4 linked regions of the Sus scrofa genome follow. The protein of the gene in region 1 interacts with the protein of each later gene in a pairwise test. Links are inferred from orthologs where the notes say so. Each region holds a gene or a part of one and is shown in the gene's direction. Other genes may lie near its edges.

Region 1 (4,141 bases):
TCCTGAGGGATGGGGGAAGAGGGACAAGAGACACTTACATTTATTTTCCCACTATTCTGAACCAACACTATACCCCTCTAACTGTTCATTCTGAAACAAAGGAGGAAAAAAGAAAACAAAAGAAAAATAGGAACTCAATGCTAATGATTTCCCTCACCTAAGAACCAATTCATGAAGAAATTAAATAAGTGATTTTCTAGTTACAGGCTCTGAAAATATAACTATTATTTTTGTTTTTGCTTTTTAGGGCCACACTTGCGGCATATGGAGGTTCCCAGGCTAGGGGTCTAATCAGAGCTACAGCTGCCAGCCTACACCCACAGCCACAGCAACACCAGACCCAAAGCACATCTGTGACCTACACCACAGCTCACAGCAACACTGGATCCTTAAGCCACTGAGCGAGGATCGAACCCACAACCCCATGGTTCCTAGTTCCAGATTCGTTTCCACTGCACCACGATGGGAACTCCTGAAAACATAACTACTGAAAAATGCTTTAAGACCTTTTAATTTAACAGATATGTTATATGCAGGTGGGATTCATGGACTCTGCCTTTTTAAATCAGTATTCGTTACAATTTACTTCTTTTGTCTCCAAAATGCACTACAGTAATTGAAATCTGGTAATCCATTTCCAATGAGAGAAAGCCTGGAGAAAGGACACGGGTATTTCAGAGGATTTCAGGAAGATGACCAAGACTTCTAGCTATAGATTGTTTTTAACAGCCCTGGAAATTCAGTTATTATGTTGTGAGTGGCACTGCCTTCAGGAGCTATGGAAGAGTGATGAAGAGTATCATCAAGAATCCTAGGAGGCAATGAGAAAGTCCCACTCTTCCGTTAACTAGAATTATATCTCACAGAATTATACTTGTCTTTTCTTTTTTTAAGAAACCAAACCACTTTGGAGAATTTCTGTTAATTGGCCAATTTTAGATAAGTTAATATTTTTATAGTTCTATAGATACATATACTCAACCTGATTAAATTAGGGCCCAGGGGCCAATCTGGCACTTAGTATGTTAAAAATAACAACAAAAACAAACTATATATATATTTTATTAACGAATGCCTCAGCTGCCTTATACGAGAGACAACACTAAGCAGAGGGATAACCTCAAACAGTCGGGATGCTTTACTTTTCCCCGCCCCATTTTTAAAATCTTGCGAGAAGAGAATTTCACCCTTTCTAGACTCGGCGCTCTTCGTCCGACGTCACAATCCGGAACTAAAACTACCAATCCCAGAATGCCTTGCGAAGGGGTGGGCTCTCCGGAAGCCGCCGAGTGATTGGCGAGAGGAGGCGTTTCCTTCCGGCGGGAAGAACCCGGGAGGCGGGGACTGGGGGGAGGTGTTCGTAAGCTATTACCGGGTTGGGCTGGCCTGGTCGGGGAGGGGTGTGTGGGTGAACCCTGTGTCCCGTGCCCGCTGAGGAGATGGATGAGGATGGGCTTCCTCTCATGGGGTCAGGCATAGACCTGACTAAGGTTTGTAAAAGATGGAGTTGAACTCAGGTGACCTGGGAGGAGGATGGGGAAGGGACGCCGGGTTCCCAGGGAGACCACATCTCTCTAAGCCCAACGCTGTCCTAGGCCTGTCTCATCTCTCTCCGGAGGGAGAGTCCCATAGTTTGCCCTTTAAAGAGGTCCCTCCTGAGGTAAGGAAGGGCGGGGGCAGTGTAGTGTACCTCTCCCAGGCTTCGCTTCCCAGGTCACGAGTCCCTGTCCTCAAGGGTGAACCACTGGCGACACGGGCCAGTTCCGATTTCTAACCCTACCTCTTTTATTCGGCCCTTAAGGTTTTCGTGTGTTTACGTGTTGCCTATACCTGCGGAAGTTCGCTCTTGTGAATCCAGAGCCCTTTCTCAAACTTTGCAGCATCTGTCATCTTTGAACACCCCACCCCCACAGGTTAGGAAAACAAGTTAATGACTATTGGCAGAACTTCCAGTAACTCATATCACACAGAGAAACGCCCCTTTATTAATATCGAGGGGATTGCACGGTGTACCTTCCTCCTGTACGGATCATGTTTATTTTTACGCAACACAGGTGCCAGCTATTCAACAGAAAAGAACGGTGGCATTTCTAAACCAATTTGTGGTGCACACTGTACAGTTCCTCAACCGCTTTTCTACAGTTTGTGAGGAGGTAGGTCCAGTGGTGTTGGTCTAATGTGTAGCCCAGATATCACCTCGCACTTTTGAAGGTAGCAAATGACTAAAACAAGATTTACAGTCTGTGTATTCATATACCGTGACCTCTTCTCACCCAATTATTATGTTAATATACCTTAAATCCTCTTTGGTTCTATTACCGTCTTCCTGCAGCCCATCTCTGCTGAATTAAACTTCTGAGACTTTTGTGAAGCAGTTCACTAAGGCTTACTGTAATTGAAGATAATAATTGTATTTCACAGTTAAAGACATTTTTTATTTTGAAATTGGTTATGTTTCTCCTACCTCAAAGATTTACGTTTTAGGTGTACATTATTTTACATTGCTTGATCCAAAAGATGATTGAGGAGGTAGCCTAGAAATGTAACTTTGGCATCAAATATCATCATGGAAATAAAAGTAAAAATACGGAGTTCCCTGGTGGTGCAGTGGGTTAAGGACCAGGCCTTGTCACTGCTGTGGCTCATGTTTGATCCCTGGCTCTGGAACTTTTTTATGCCAGAGGTGAGGCCAAAAAAAAAAAATAATAAATAAAATACTTTGTGCATATGACTTATGAAGTAAGGATAAAGTAGCTCAGTTACAGATTAGGTACCAGATCTAGGGACGACTGTCTTATAAAAAGCTAAAAAAGAGAATGGGTTGAAATTAGGTTTAAGAAGGAAGAAAGGGGACAAGGAAATGTTTTGAAACCAAAAGATGGTGTTTTTGCTCAGTTTTCTTTACTTCTTGAGGATTGCGTCAAAACCTAGGGCCCCGTTTTGTTGTCATGAACCACCTGAGTGCTGAAGTTACTGTTCACCCTTTGACTGAGTATCCTCCCCAGTCAAATCCTTGAATTGAAACTGTTCTTGTAGAGGAATTGTTGCTGCCTGAAAGGTGTAAGAGTCAAGATTGTTGTCATTGGGAACAGGATACACATATACACTTTAATGTTAAAGAAAACCCCCCCATTGGTATCATGGTATTTCTCTATGCTTGCAAATTCTACTTTCCAAAAGTTCAGTGACCACTTAAAGCTAAATACGCTTTTAGGGATGATTTAAACAGAAATTAAAATGATTTCATTAAGAAGTCAAGGTCTGGGAGTTCCCGTTGTGGCGCAGTGGTTAACGAATCCTACTGGGAACCATGAGGTTGCGGGTTCGGTCCCTGCCCTTGCTCAGTGGGTTAACGATCCGGCGTTGCCGTGAGCTGTGGTGTAGGTTGCAGACGCGGCTCAGATCCCGCGTTGCTGTGGCTCTGGCGTAGGCCGGTGGCTACAGTTCCGATTCAACCCCTAGCCTGGGAACCTCCATATGCTGCGGGAGCGGCCCAAGAAATCGCAACAACAACAACAACAAAGACAAAAAAAAAAAAAAAAGAAGTCAAGGTCTGGAGTTCCCTTGGGGCACAGCAATTTAAGGATCTGGTACTGTCACTGTCTGGCTTGTGGCGCTGCTGCGGCATGGGTTTAATCCCTGAAAAAAAAACAAACAAACAAAAAAAATCAAGGCCTGCTTCATGAAATACCGTGAGAATACCTAGAGACTTCCCAGTCCTAGCCATTCTCCTACTTTTTGTACAATATGTGATGTATCTCCATTCCAGTTGCATTTTGATTGACACAATAAAAATGTTTCCAAGAAGTTAACTAGTAAATACCAATTTTTGTCAGTTGAATTATTGTTAACTTGTGCTTGTGAAGCTATTGTAAAAATCTTATTAATTTTTGAAAATCAAATAAACCCACCCCCCCAAAAAAAAAGAGAAAAGAGGAAAATGTGATAATCACAGCTGAGTCAGTTAAACAATATTTAGTTCGTTATGTCTTATATATAACATAAGGTAGGGAATCAGCATATAGTTTTTGTTAGATATGTTATTAATAAAAATTGCATGGAGCCAGGAAAACTGTTTTCGTCTGTATAAGATTCCAGCTGTTCTTTTGTCTAGTTATCAAAATCACTTCTGCCTTCTCAC
Region 2 (4,302 bases), on another chromosome or scaffold:
TAAAATCAGTCCAGAGCCTGGATGTTTTTTGCTTCTCTCTTCCCCTGCTATTCTTTGTATCTGCTCGGGCGAGGTCATCTAGTTGTTCCCATTCGTCTCAGCCAGGGTCCTGCGCTGGGCTTAGTTCTTATTTCATTTTTAAAGCACTGCCTGCCAGAGAAGGGCCTTGGTCCTGAGGAGGAGTCCCTCACAGCTGCTCCCTCCCTTACAGCCAGAGCTCACATTCCTCGGTGGGGTGGGGAAGGCAGGCTTGGGGCGTGGCCCCGACGGGAGCCGGGGGTCCCTTGCTGGCCCTTCCCCGTGTGAAGAGAAGACACGGATGCTGCAGAACTTGGCCAGTGCAGCATTCAGCCTTTGAGGCTGTGAAAAAGAAGGCAGCGGCCTCTGGGCTTCTCTTCTCCAGGGTTCTTCCCACCGGACAGCAGAGATGGCACCCCCCTCCCTCAACTTTGTGTTGTGTTTGTGGTTCTGTTCGCTCCTCTTCCATCTGTTGCTATTTTTGTGGTCTCTCCCATGGCAGCATTTTGTAAGGTGGCTCCTGAGGGGCGGCGGTGGTGGTGGGGTGTCAGCTCAATCCCTCTCTCCCCCTCACTCCACAACTTTTTGGAAGCAAGTGGGGGTGGCAGAGATGTGGGGAAAGTTTTGTACGGTTGGATTAATAAAATGACTTTGGAAAATCCAGACTGGAGCCCTTGCTGTTGATGTGTGGGTACAAGGCTGGAATGGGCCAGTCATCCCTGGGCAGGTTGGTTGGGGGTGAAGATAGGTATCCGTGTGTGTGTGGGGGGGTGTCTCTGGAAGTGGGAACAGCAGAAAGATTCAGCCCTCTGGGCTGGCCCTGGTACAAACAGCTAAGCCCAGGGAGGCCTGTGCTCCCTGCCTCTCCCCCCGTGTCCCTGCTGTGAGGAACAAGTTTCCTTTCTGAGCACATTCCTGGGCCAGGCCTGGAGCCAAGCCGGAGCTTTGGCTCCAAGTCTTCAGGGGAGACAACTGTCTTTAGTGCTTGGGGGTTTAGCGCCCACAACCCCACTCCCCAGTTATTTGGGTTAGGCAGCGAGCATAGCTCCAAGGGTGGGATCAGGGGCTGCCCCTGGGTCCGGAAGTTTTCATTTTTGGATACTTTTCAGGCCCCCCTCATCTTTTTTTTGTAAATAGCGGCATCCTTAAACAATCCGCACTGGGGCAGCATGAGAGTGGCCGAAGGGCTATTTCCAACCCGCAATTGGCCACTCCCCTCCCCCATCCTGCAGCTGTCTCTGTCTATCCTGGGACCAACCTGGCCCCTTGTCTTAGAGAAGCCACCCTTTGCCTTTCAGTTTTGGGTCTTGGCTCCAGAAATTCTTTAGACGCTGCTCCCAGGAGGGGAGGTGACAATATTCAGTTTGCTGGCACTCCAGCCGTCCCGCAGGGAGGGGAACCAGGTTGCGGGGCTCTGCAGTTCCCCCCCTCCTTTCCCCTCCCGTGGCTCTCCAGTCTAGCTGTTATTGGCCAAAAGTTTCCGCCCCCTCAGGGAAGTTGACTTTCTATTGGCCGGTTCTAGGTCACATGACCTGCCTTTCTTGGCGCTGTAAAGCTGGAGAGGCAGCAACAAGTTCAGGGGAAGACTGAAGCCAGGAGCAGGATCAGGTAAAGCCCCGGTGAGAAGGGCCCACAGGGATCCCTGTGCGAGGAAGGATAGAGGTGAGGGGGGCCAGAACTCCAGCGGTTGGGCTCCTCCGAGGATCTTCAGAGCTAGTTTGTCGCTTCTTGGCCGGCGGAAGGGGGATCATGGGCGGCCGTTTCCAAAACAGGAACTTGCTTTAGGTCTCCCAGGCAAGTTTTTGCAGCCCTGTGTCATTTGCTCTAGAGATTTGGGGGAGCAACTCTTATGGGGGGTTGAAATCAGCTAGACGAGACTTTCCAGCTTTTTACGGAGGGTGGGAGAGCTCCCCCTTTAGTTGTCTTTTGGAAGTAGCCCAAGTTCCTGACAATCCTTATAGGGTGTTTTTGTTGAATCCTACTTGAATGAAAAGAAAGAGGAGGGGGTGGAGGTGGGTTTTCTTCCTAGAGGTTGATGAGAAGAAAGAGATCTGAAAACACCGTGGGCCAGGGTGGAGATTAGACAGCTGGAGGAACTTCCTAATAGGGCAGTGAGATGCTGGCTTGGGAGAACAGGGAGATCTTTTGGAATCTTGGGTGAACCCAACCAAGGGAGAGAGACCAACAAGTATTTGGAACTCTGAGTGCAGGGGTTCCGGACTGTCTCCTGTTTAGGTCTCAGAAGTGTTTGTCTTGTTGACCCAAATACCTTGCTGGTTTCCATGGAGACAGTGGGTCTGACATCACTGTGGTTACCATGGTGCCTGGTTCTGGAGGACCGGAGCAGGCCGTATACAGCTAAGGATAAACAGGGACTTCAGCCCAAGCTGCTGCCACTTCCCTGCCACCACCTGTTAAAAGTCACACACAGCAACTGAGGATGGGGAGATGATGACAGAACTGTGGGGGAGGGGCTTGAGACCAGAAGGCTGCACAGTGATGGTTCTCTGGATGCCTGTGAAGCCTGCCAGGGGTGTCCTGTGGGATGTGGGGAAGTCATTGCGCCCTTCTCCTGTCTCCTTGTGGGGTGGGTGCATGCGTTTGGAAGGCATAGGTCTTGGGAGACACTGTGAGGTGTCCTTCATCTGTCCTGGGCTTGGATCTTGACGCACAAGGGCCACAGGAGGTTTGTAGGGCACTGAGTAGGACTCACTTGAGCTCAAACAGAAGAGGGCAGTGTGGCGGTTTCCTAGGGTAGAAGTGCCATGCTTGTTCCCCAGCCTCGCTCCTTTTCCCAAGGTTTCCTTTTAGAGTCCTTTACCACTTGCCACCCCTCTCACCCCTCAGCAAGCCGTCATTTAGCCCCTTCTAAAGGATCAGAATCTAAGACTCTAGGGGGTCAGCTCATCTCTCCCTCCACCATTGCCAGCCTGGATGGGGGACAGTCTTGGCCATGGATGAAGGAGTAGGTTACGATCTTCCTATCCTGCCTTGTGTCAGGCTTTGGAAGCTGGAGTAACTTCCCACTGCCACCTGGCCAAGTCAGAGCAGGTTCGCAGGGGGTAGGATCACAGCCCTGATTTTTGTCCAGGCTTTGCAGCCTGTAAAGTGCATTATACATGGTAGTTGCCATAAATCCCTCTTCCCAGTCACCTTCACGTTCTCTACGATGAAACTCTGGAGGTTACTAAGAAGGGAAATGGAGAGTGAGCGTGCCAAGGAGATCTACTAGTACGGGTTAATTCAGATGGAGTTAAGCTGTGCCAGTTTTTCTCAACCTTGGCTACACGTGAGAATCGTTTGGAAGGTTTTAAAAAAGCCCCGTGCCCAAGCCTAAGCCTGAGTCTTGAACCTGACTGTATCAGAATCTTGAGTGATTCCATGTGCAGCCAGTCTGAACTAGACCATATGGAGGACTTGCAGTGAGGGGGAGACTTGGGGCTGAAGGAGGCCATTGAGTCTTCTCTTCCAAGCCCTGGGGGAAGGGGTGGTGATTGTGGGGGAGCCTGAGGTGGTGAAGGGAGGGCTGGATTGTGCCTCACTCTTCTTATTAGCTGTTCATCTTTGGCAAGTCAAGTCAGCCAACTTTCTGGCCTTCGTTTTCCCTGACTATAACTTGAGGGAGTTGACCTGGATTTTTCCCAAAGCCTTTCTTTCCAGCCCTATGCTACTCTGTCCTTTCAAGGTCAGTCCCATCTCCCAGTTTCCCAAGGGCCCTTTTGGTCCCTGGGAGGGGCAAGCTTCACTGTGGCTGTTGGCAGGTTGTGATTTGCAAGGCAAATGCTGCCCAGAAGAAGAGTTGAGGTGTTGGGATCAGAAGGCCTGGAACCAGGCTGGTTCTGGAAGTTGGTACCCAGCCCTTCGTTACAGTTAGAACCCAGCTGAGGCTGCTGTCTGCATCCTGAAGGGAGCTGGGGTCTTTAAAGGAGCCTTTCTCTGCAGGTGGCGGCCTGAACAGCCTCGGGAACCTCTGCAACTATGGCCTCCAGCCCAGACTCGGACAATAGCTGGGTGCTTGCTGGCTCAGAGGTAAGAAAAGCAGGCCTGGGAACCTTAAAAACAGGGTTCCTGCAGGGCTGGACTGCTTTCTGGGGTCTGTCCTTTTCCTTGTCACATGCATCGCCTCCTGCTGGCTGTGAGAGGAATTCCAATGGCTGGGAGAAGTGGGGACCTGGACCATGCCTAGAAAGAAGGCATTTGCTGGCATAAGCTGGGAGAAGTAGGGGCAAAATTCTGGTGGGGAGACCAGCACAAGCAGAGGTTCTGAGGCAACAGTGGGAGAGC
Region 3 (4,222 bases), on another chromosome or scaffold:
CCTTCACATAATAATTACCTGGAGTGATTATCTCTGGCGTATGAATTTATTAATTTCTTACATCTTCATTGATTTATTCTCTGATTTATTTTTCTGGACCCACTTGTGGCATGCAGATATTGTCTGGCCAGGAACTGAATCCACCCCAGGGCTGTTACTACCCCAGGCTCGTACACACAACCCTCTGCCACCACAAGCATCATATCGGAAGAGCCTTTTTCATGCCTTTCTCTGTCAATTCACTTAGCTACTATGTAGGGATATCTATATGTATGCACTGACTTCATCAATTTATCGCCTTCTTCAAAATATTTACTTTTCTTGATTCATTTACTTGGGTGCCACCTGCAACATCAGGGAGTTGCCCAGTCAGGGTTTGATCTCCCTATGCAACTCTCACCATAGCCACAGACTCTTAAGGAAGCCAGCCACGAGGGAACTCTCTGAGAGCTTTCTTGGTATCAATCAACCCTGCTTAATTCATCAGACCTGGGTTCGGTCAGGCCTCCTTCCCTGGAGCGGTCACTGTAAAGGGAGACTCGTGTGGCAAGGCAAGAAAGACATTTCACTAGGTCTCATGAGCAGAAAAAGCACAGGGATTAGCACAACCACCCACCACAATGCCACCGAAGTCCACCATCCATTCATCAGCACCAGCCTCTATCCAGAGAGCTAAACCCTTGGCAGTCAGGGGCTTGAAAATGGACAGTTCATGATTCAAAACAGAGGCTGTGTGGGTTCTGGCTCCTGGCCTGGAGGAACACAAGGCGCTCTGAAACCCAGTGGATCACTCAAGCATTATAAACACACTGCCACCTGGCCAGGCAGCAAATGCACACACATTAAATGCTAAAAGGACAGCTGTGTGCTCTGCCTGACGTGAGGCAACTTAGAGCAGAGAGTCCCAGATACCTGGAAAACAACCCCAGATCTCTGGGTGCTGGCTGGGGTTTCCCACAAACACATCATCAACCCCAACGCTGAGCCCCGACATGCAGCCTTGGAGCTTGCCCTTGGGTCTGGAAAGTACCCTGGCACCGTCTTGTGGTCATCTGCACTAACAGCAACTCTCAGGTGTTCGTCCTCCCTCTGGCTGAGCAGCCCCCGGGGGCAGCTTTGGCCTTGGGCAACACACTGGTTGGATTGCCTTCCTCTGCTTTCTTGAAATATCAAGAAGGGCCCTACCAAGTGGGCTATTTCTCTCTCAAAGGCTTTCAGAGCCCTGAGGCCACCCTACCCGATGCCACAGCTTTTAAACACTCAGCTCCCGACCCATCATGTGCTGACAGCCTTCTTCAATTTTTCATATATTCACGCAGGTGTGTGTTTTTGAATATATTTGTTTACATATGTAATTATTGACTTATTTTCTTACCTTTCCAACTATTATTCATTAGCTCATAGGTCTTTCTTCCTTTGTTCTACCTTTCTTACATTTTTTTCTTTCACTGGAGTGACTTACCCTACTGTATGGAGCCCAGTGGCTCCCAAATGTCGATTCCTTGCTCCAACCGCCAAGAGCTGGGGCAGCCAGGGCCACTTTAGGGAATTTTGAAAGGAAGATGCTCAGGACAAGTGGTCCTGGCAGCTGCTAGGAACTCACCAGAAAACTCCCCAACTGGGGCCAGCTGGTCACAAACAGCAAGGCTCCTGGCTGGCTCACCAAAACCTGTTGCCGAACCCAAGTTTGCTCTGCTCACTGTACTGCTCAGGCCAATGAATTCTAAGAAGAGTTGTTGGGGCGATGCATAGCTACTTTAATTAGAAAGCTAGCAGATGGAGAAGACGGCAGGCTAGTGTCTTGAGACTTGCCTCAGTCTTAATTCAGGCTCTTTTAATACTGAGAAAGGGGAGGGGCAGGGGCCAATGGTCAGCCACTGTCACTTGCTGGGGGGACAGGCTCACTACAATGCTGACCAATGGCTGAAGAGGACCACTAAATGTCGCTCACTAATGGTTGCTCACTTACACTCTGACCCCAGCCCCTTTATCCCTGACTCTAACCTCTAAGGCCAGGCAGTCTGTACAACAGGATGGGTTAGGGTTTTAAGGGTCACTTGAACCTTTGCTCTACCCTTATCTTGCACAGGTCAGTTCACCATCAAAGAAGTAGCCCCAGTAACATGGAGATTATGGCCCACTTTGCCAGTTTGGATTGGTAGTCCATGACTTGAACAACCGTCAAGGGTGGCAATGGTCATGGGCTCAGCTACTAATTCCTACTCCTTTCCCTGACCTTGATACTGACCCTAAAAATGAAAGGTGACTCTCGTCTGACATTGACTCTTGACCCTTTCCCTGACCCTCGTCTCCTACTCAGACTCTTACTTTGATGCTGAGACCAGCTCAGTGAGTGGAGGTGAAGGACGGGTGCTGCAAAGCTTAAGAAATGTTCATCGGAAACAAAGAAAGACACAGAGACAGGGTACAGTTAAAGATGGGACCAGGGGACGCAAGACCTCATGCGTCAAGAGCCCTGAATGCCGACGCCTCATCGTCTTTATTATGCTCTCAGGAAGGTAAACAATGTGAGAAAATAGACACCCCAAGGCCCTCGGCCTCCAGTCACCTTGAATTTGAACTCCGACCTTTACTCTAAAGGGCATCAATGAGGCTGGTGTTAGCTATCTAGGCATAACATCTTGAGGAACAATCAGTGTTTTCTCAAGCAGTTTTCTGACTTGAGCTGACCCGGTTTTCCAAAGTCAACACCTTGTCCTCTCAGTTAATGCCTAACTTGCTGAGCCAGGTCCCTCTAGCCCCTTATGGTTTCCTTGGGGTTTAGAAAACACATCCGGAAGATTTCTCCCCACACCTTGAGCCTTAATCCTAATGCTTACTCTGTGACTTTTCGTAACCTTATCCCTATCGAGGACGCTTAAGTCAGCTCTAGGGCAGGGCTTTGCACAGGTAGCACTCAAAACTGCTCCTCACACCTGGTTGTTCCTGCCACCTGGAATCCTGAGCAACAGGTGAGGAAAACGTGACGCTGGAGGTTTTGGAACAGGATTTGCGCACGACGAGGCCAACTCACCGCCCTGCTGTAAAGCACCCAGGACGCGTCTGAGGGAAAACCGGAAATTCCTCTTCCGGGTGCAGAGACAGGAATGAACTGAGACCCCCACGCCAAGCACTGGCACTGTCCCCGAAGCGCGGGCGGCGTCCCCTGGGACGCACCCTCAGGAGACCGCCACACGCCCGCAGGCCCCTGGCTCCTCCATCGACCAAGCGCAAACCCAAGCGCACGCGACCCTCGCCTGCTCTGCGCAGAGTCAGGGCCAGACGCTCAAGCATGCGCACTGGCGCGAGCCCACGGTCTCCCCGCGGCCCCCGCTCGAGGAAACGGGCATTGCGCAGGCGCACAGAGGACGCCCCGCCCCCGGCGCGGCGCCAGACGCCGGGAGCCAGCGACCTGAGAGGAGATGGCGGGGCGGCCGGGGCCTTCGAGCGAGGAGTCCGCGGGAGCCCTGGGCCGCGCTGGCGAGGCAGGAGGTAGCTGGGCCCGGTGGCGGCCTCTGACCCGGCCTCCGGAGGGAGCCAGGCTGCCAGGGGCCGGGCGGGGAGCGCGTGCGGGCGCCTCTTCCTCAGGGCGGGGTCGGTCGTGAGGAAAAACGACTGTCGCCCCGCTGGAAGGGTCTGGGCGGCGCTACCCGGAGCGCTCCGGGGGACTCACCCGCAGGCCTCGCCTGACCTTCGCGCACTTCCCGTTGGCCTGGTCTGTCCACCCCGTTTGCTCAAGTAGCTCAGAGGAGTCAGGGGACACGGTTTCGATCTGGTCCCGGGGCCCCCACACCCGTGGGCCCGCGTCGGTCCCGTCACTCGTCCCACAGCCCGCACACATCTGCCTTCCCAGCTGCCCCGTAGTGGTTCTCCTCGGGGGAGTTTTTCCCCCGGACGAGGGTCCGGACGGCTCCACACGGCATTACCTTTTCTTTCGTCTTGACACTGATCCGCCGCGTGTTGGCTCCCACCTCACCAGGAAGCGGGTGGGGGAGCACGGCAGCTCCTTCAGTTAAAAAGTTCTGCAGGGACAGCCTGGGGTAGAGGAGAGATGAACAGTGTTCCTTAGACGTTTTCGCCCCGGTGTTTCACAGAACCGGAGGGACCTGTACAAGGAACACCCATCCCTCAGCTTGTTTACTCTCTGCTCTCCTTGGCTCACCCACCTCCCTCCTTAAGATTCAATCATGAACATGTCTTGGTGACACTTTCAGACCTGCCG
Region 4 (4,248 bases), on another chromosome or scaffold:
GGCTGCAACATCCTTTGTTTACTGATATGGCAGGTAACATTTTTTTCATCGACAATGGTATGGCACCTGCAAAAACCTGGGAAATCCTGGAAACAGTAAAAGTATAGCTGGAACAAAAAAGGCAGAGGGGGACGAAACATTGTAAATCAACTACGCTTTAATAATTTTTTTTAAAAGGCCAAGGGGATGAGGAGGATTGACAGGAAATAAAAGCAAAACCATTTAGGCATTAAATTTCAAGCACAGGAGTTCCTGTTGTGGCTCAGAGGTAAAGAATCCAACTAGCATCCATGAGGACACAGGTTCGATCCCTGGCCTCACTCAGTGGGTTAAGAATCTGGCATTGCCATGAGTTGCAGCGTAGGTCACAGATGTGGCTCGGGTCTGGCGTTGCTATGGCTGTGGTGCAGGCTGGCAGCCACTGCTCTGATTAGACCCCTAGCCTGGGAACTTCCATATGCCGCAGGTGCAGCCCTTAAAAAAAAAAAAAAAAAAAAAAAAAATCCAAGCACATAGGTTGCTGTGTTTTATTCTGTTGTCTACAGACAAATGGAAAAAGAATTGTGATTTCACATTTTGAGAAAAGCTTGGCTATTTTTCCCCTTTAGCACCAGTGCAACTGGGACTTGGTAGGAGTGGGCCAAAGAAAAGGCTCAGGAATCTGCTGAAACCAAACTTCCCCTTACAGGGCCTCAGCACCTTCCAAAGAGGGACTCAAGGTGGAAATGGGGATGGGAAATTAAGTATTTACTTTTCCAAGTTACCTTGACTCACCCTCAAGGAAAGCGCATCATGGTGATTATTTCTTCCTGAGTAAGAAGCAGGGTAGTCCAGTAGTTGAGATGGGTGCCAGACTTCCTGGCTTTGAAACTGCTCTAATCAGTCAATAGCTATGTGACCTTGGACAATCACCTAACAGGTGTAAATTGAGAGTAACAAATACTACAGTATTTATCTGGAGTAGTTACTGGGAAAGCTAGCATTCAAAGAACTACTGTTATTAAAATTTTCTATAGGAATACGGAAATCGAGGCTCTGGGAATGAAAAGAATGCCCGGTCACATAACAAATTAGTGATGAAATTAGGACTGGAAGGAATACAGATCTGATGTCCAGCACCGTATTTTATCCCTCGTCCTCAGAGTTCCTAGATAGTCACAGATATCCTCAGCAGGAGGGAAGGACGGGGTTGAGGTGTGCGGGGAAAAAGCAGCCAGGCGCAAGGCTCTGGGAGCTGAATCATAACTTCTGCGTGATGGAAAGGAGGTTGACGTGAGTACCAGTGCAGAATGACTGGCTGCTTTCGGACCTCCTGGGTCTGGGCTCCAAGAACGAAAGCCCTGTTGCAGCTTGGGAGTCGGGATCAGCCCGGTGCATGGAGGGACATGTAGTCCTTTCTGTCCCTCCACCCCCCCACTCCGCCTTCCCAACTCACCCGCCTCAGAGGCCGCCTTCGCTTCAACTTTCCCAGCAAGCCCCGCGAGAGCGCGGGCTATTGATTGGCCGCGGCGCGAGCAGGCGGCTCTGCCGGCAGCAGTTACCCAGGGTTTCCGGTGAGAGGCCAGAGCAGGAGAAGCCGTCGGGACGTCGGCGGTGGGGTGCGTATTGCGTCGGTTAGGGGTACAAGGCAAGCAGAGGGCCCGGGGCCCGACGCCTTCGGACGGTTCAGGGAATTACGCCGATTCCGCACGAGGACTCGGGCTGGAGTGCAGGGGCCGAGGCCTGTGCGCATGCGCGGGCGGAGCGCGCGGCTGGAGGGCGCGCGGGGCGTGGGTGGCTGCGCGCGCGCGCGGGGGGGTGGGCACACGTGGGGCCTGGGGGGCGGGGAGGAACCGGGAATCCAGCGTCCCGCCACGTCAGTCCCTGGGCCTGAGCCTGTCCGGCGCACGGGCTGTGGTGAGAGGGCTGGGTTGTGCCGGGGAAGTAGCTTCGGGGAAAAAGGAGGCCTCCTCTCCCCTGCTGTTGGGCACACCAGACTTCCCTGACCGACCAGAGATAGGGAGCCCCACTGGCTCCCATCCGAGGAAGGCCGGTCGGTTTAAGAAGCTTTGCGGGTCCGGTGTGGAGATATCAGATCCAGGCTGCGAAGAATTGTTTAAAGTCTGGAAAATAGCAAGTGTATTTGTTTCTATAGGTTCTGCTCATAACCTAACGTTGCAAACAACAATGAAGAACCAAGACAAAAAGAATGGGGCTGCCAAGCAATCTGGCCACACTTCCAACCCCAAAAACACCCCGGGGCAACCGGAAGCAGGACCAGAGGGAGGCCAGGGGCGGCCCAGCCAGTCTGCTCCCACGACAGAAGCTGAAGGTTCCACCAGCCAGGCTCCAGGGAAGGCTGAGGGTGTGTGCCAGCTCTGCTTTTCCAATGGGCAGGGGGAGGAGTTTATGGTGCGTCAGTCTAGCTTCTGGGGTTAGAAGCCAAGGCCACTGTTTATCCAGAAGGGAGGAAATGTAGAATGAGGGGAGGACACCACTGAGTCCTTGAGTGCCCACTCTGCGCTGGGGAGTTGATAGAGCCTCCCACCCTAAGCACAGGGACAGAACTCTCCTGAGAGAAGCTTCTGACAGGATTAAGTCAGGTTGGCAGTCAAATGAGGCACCCAACCAGCAAATCAAAAACACCACTTTCAGCAGTGGGTAACTGCTATTCCTATTTGAGGCATTTCTGGAACTTTTTTTTTTTTTTCTTTTTTTTCTGTTTCTTAGGGCCCCACCCTAGGCATATGGAGGTGCCCAGGCTCAAGTCGAATTGGAGCTACAGCTGCCAGCCTGCACCACAGTCACAGCAACACAGGATCCCTCACCTACTAAGTGAGGCCAAGGGTCGAACCTGAGTCTTCATGAATACTAGTCAGATTCGTTTCTGCTGCACCACAACGGGAACTCTTGGAACTTTTTTAATAGCAAGAAGTGACATTTGCAGGTGGACTAGACCTTGAGTTCCTGCTACATGATGCCACCTCTGTGTTGGGTGGTCTCCTTACTTGATTTCTCTTATAACAAGCATGGTTGGGCAGAGGTGAGAAATAGTTTTATCAGTAATAAAACTGAGGTTTAAAGAAGTTAGGTAACATTTAACCCAAACTAGTAAGTTTGGGCCTGAAAAAATCCCAGCCAGTGGCATAATGGTCTTATTTCTGACTCTGCCCCTCATCCCTCCTGCTGCAGGAGCACAAGCCAAAACTGGGGCCCTCCGTGATGTCTCAGAGGAGTTGAGCCGCCAATTGGAAGACATCCTCAGTACATACTGTATAGACAACAATCAGGGGGGCCCAGGCGAAGATGGGGCACAGGGTGAGCCTGGTGAACCTGAAGATGCAGAGAAGTCCCGGACCTATGCCTCAAGGAATGGGGAGCCTGAGCCAGAGACCCCAGTAGTCAATGGTGAGAAGGAGCCCTCCAAGGGGGAGCCGGGCGCAGACGAGATCCGGGCAAGTGACGAGGTCGTAGACCGAGACCACCGAAGGCCCCAGGAAAAGAAGAAAGCCAAAGGTCTAGGTGAGCAGAGGGCAGCTGCTTATGAGGCTGGTGAGGGGAGGGAGTTTGAATCTGACATTCCTGGGTTAGCCTGCTGTGCCAGGATTTGGAGGAAACACTACTTCCAGAGCAGCTACTTACTTTTTGTTTTTGTTTTTTCTAATGTTTTTTTCATTCAGCGGGTTTATTACATTTATACCTGTACAACCATCATCACAACCTGATTTGAGAACATTTTCAACCTACATAGTTTAATGAGAGCAGGGGCTGCAGGACCATAGCATAGAGACGTGCAGGTTCACTGCACAAGGGCTTCTAGCCTGGGAGCAAGCGGGAACCGAAGTCTAACCTGCTCTCTTTGAGAAGATGGAAAGAAGGAGGCCTGAGTGGTCAGTCCTCTTCAGCCAGCACCACTTCTAACTTGCTGTGTGACCTTGGGCGAGACCTTTCTCCTCTCTGGTCCTTGGTTTTCACTTCTCTACACAATAAGAGAATTGGATTAGATGAGGTTGAAAACTCAAATAAAGCCAAGCTAGCCAGAGGCACCCATGAGGACCAAGAGAATGCCTGCTTTATTCAAAGGCTTGACTGCCACCTGGCCCCAGGTGAGACGATAGCATGGAAAACTACAGGCTAACTGTAGCTGGCATTTGTTTTTTGTTTTCTGTTTGGTTTTTTTTTTTTTTTTTTTTTTGTCTTTTGTCTTTTTGTTGTTGTTGTTGCTGCTATTTCTTGGGCCGCTCCCACGGCATATGGAGATTCCCAGGC

What was found.
Region 2: the proteins of WASHC3 (region 1) and PBXIP1 interact in binary tests that used the Homo sapiens proteins (3 or more experiments, as listed by UniProt). The two-hybrid records come from large-scale screens. The link is inferred for Sus scrofa from reciprocal best matches to the Homo sapiens genes WASHC3 and PBXIP1.
Region 3: the proteins of WASHC3 (region 1) and SYCE1 interact in binary tests that used the Homo sapiens proteins (3 or more experiments, as listed by UniProt). The two-hybrid records come from large-scale screens. The link is inferred for Sus scrofa from reciprocal best matches to the Homo sapiens genes WASHC3 and SYCE1.
Region 4: the proteins of WASHC3 (region 1) and TXLNA interact in binary tests that used the Homo sapiens proteins (3 or more experiments, as listed by UniProt). The two-hybrid records come from large-scale screens. The link is inferred for Sus scrofa from reciprocal best matches to the Homo sapiens genes WASHC3 and TXLNA.

The regions. Positions count from the first base shown.
Region 1 is NC_010447.5:82,153,940-82,158,080, forward strand, and holds the start of WASHC3 (WASH complex subunit 3), read left to right. Parts: upstream 1-1,333; 5' UTR 1,334-1,439; coding exon 1,440-1,490; intron 1,491-1,801; exon of another isoform or gene 1,802-1,913; intron 1,914-2,054; coding exon 2,055-2,153; intron 2,154-4,141. UniProt on the Homo sapiens protein: Acts as a component of the WASH core complex that functions as a nucleation-promoting factor (NPF) at the surface of endosomes, where it recruits and activates the Arp2/3 complex to induce actin polymerization, playing a key role in the fission of tubules that serve as transport intermediates during endosome sorting.
Region 2 is NC_010446.5:94,835,868-94,840,169, forward strand, and holds the start of PBXIP1 (pre-B-cell leukemia transcription factor-interacting protein 1), read left to right. Parts: upstream 1-1,497; 5' UTR 1,498-1,626; exon of another isoform or gene 1,627-1,812; intron 1,813-3,960; 5' UTR 3,961-3,996; coding exon 3,997-4,047; intron 4,048-4,302. UniProt on the Homo sapiens protein: Regulator of pre-B-cell leukemia transcription factors (BPXs) function. Inhibits the binding of PBX1-HOX complex to DNA and blocks the transcriptional activity of E2A-PBX1.
Region 3 is NC_010456.5:141,735,026-141,739,247, reverse strand, and holds the start of SYCE1 (synaptonemal complex central element protein 1), read left to right. Parts: upstream 1-1,417; 5' UTR 1,418-3,422; coding exon 3,423-3,492; intron 3,493-3,926; exon of another isoform or gene 3,927-4,106; intron 4,107-4,222. UniProt on the Homo sapiens protein: Major component of the transverse central element of synaptonemal complexes (SCS), formed between homologous chromosomes during meiotic prophase. Requires SYCP1 in order to be incorporated into the central element.
Region 4 is NC_010448.4:88,658,608-88,662,855, forward strand, and holds the start of TXLNA (alpha-taxilin), read left to right. Parts: upstream 1-1,443; 5' UTR 1,444-1,598; intron 1,599-1,829; exon of another isoform or gene 1,830-1,896; intron 1,897-2,134; 5' UTR 2,135-2,166; coding exon 2,167-2,344; intron 2,345-3,171; coding exon 3,172-3,501; intron 3,502-4,248. UniProt on the Homo sapiens protein: May be involved in intracellular vesicle traffic and potentially in calcium-dependent exocytosis in neuroendocrine cells.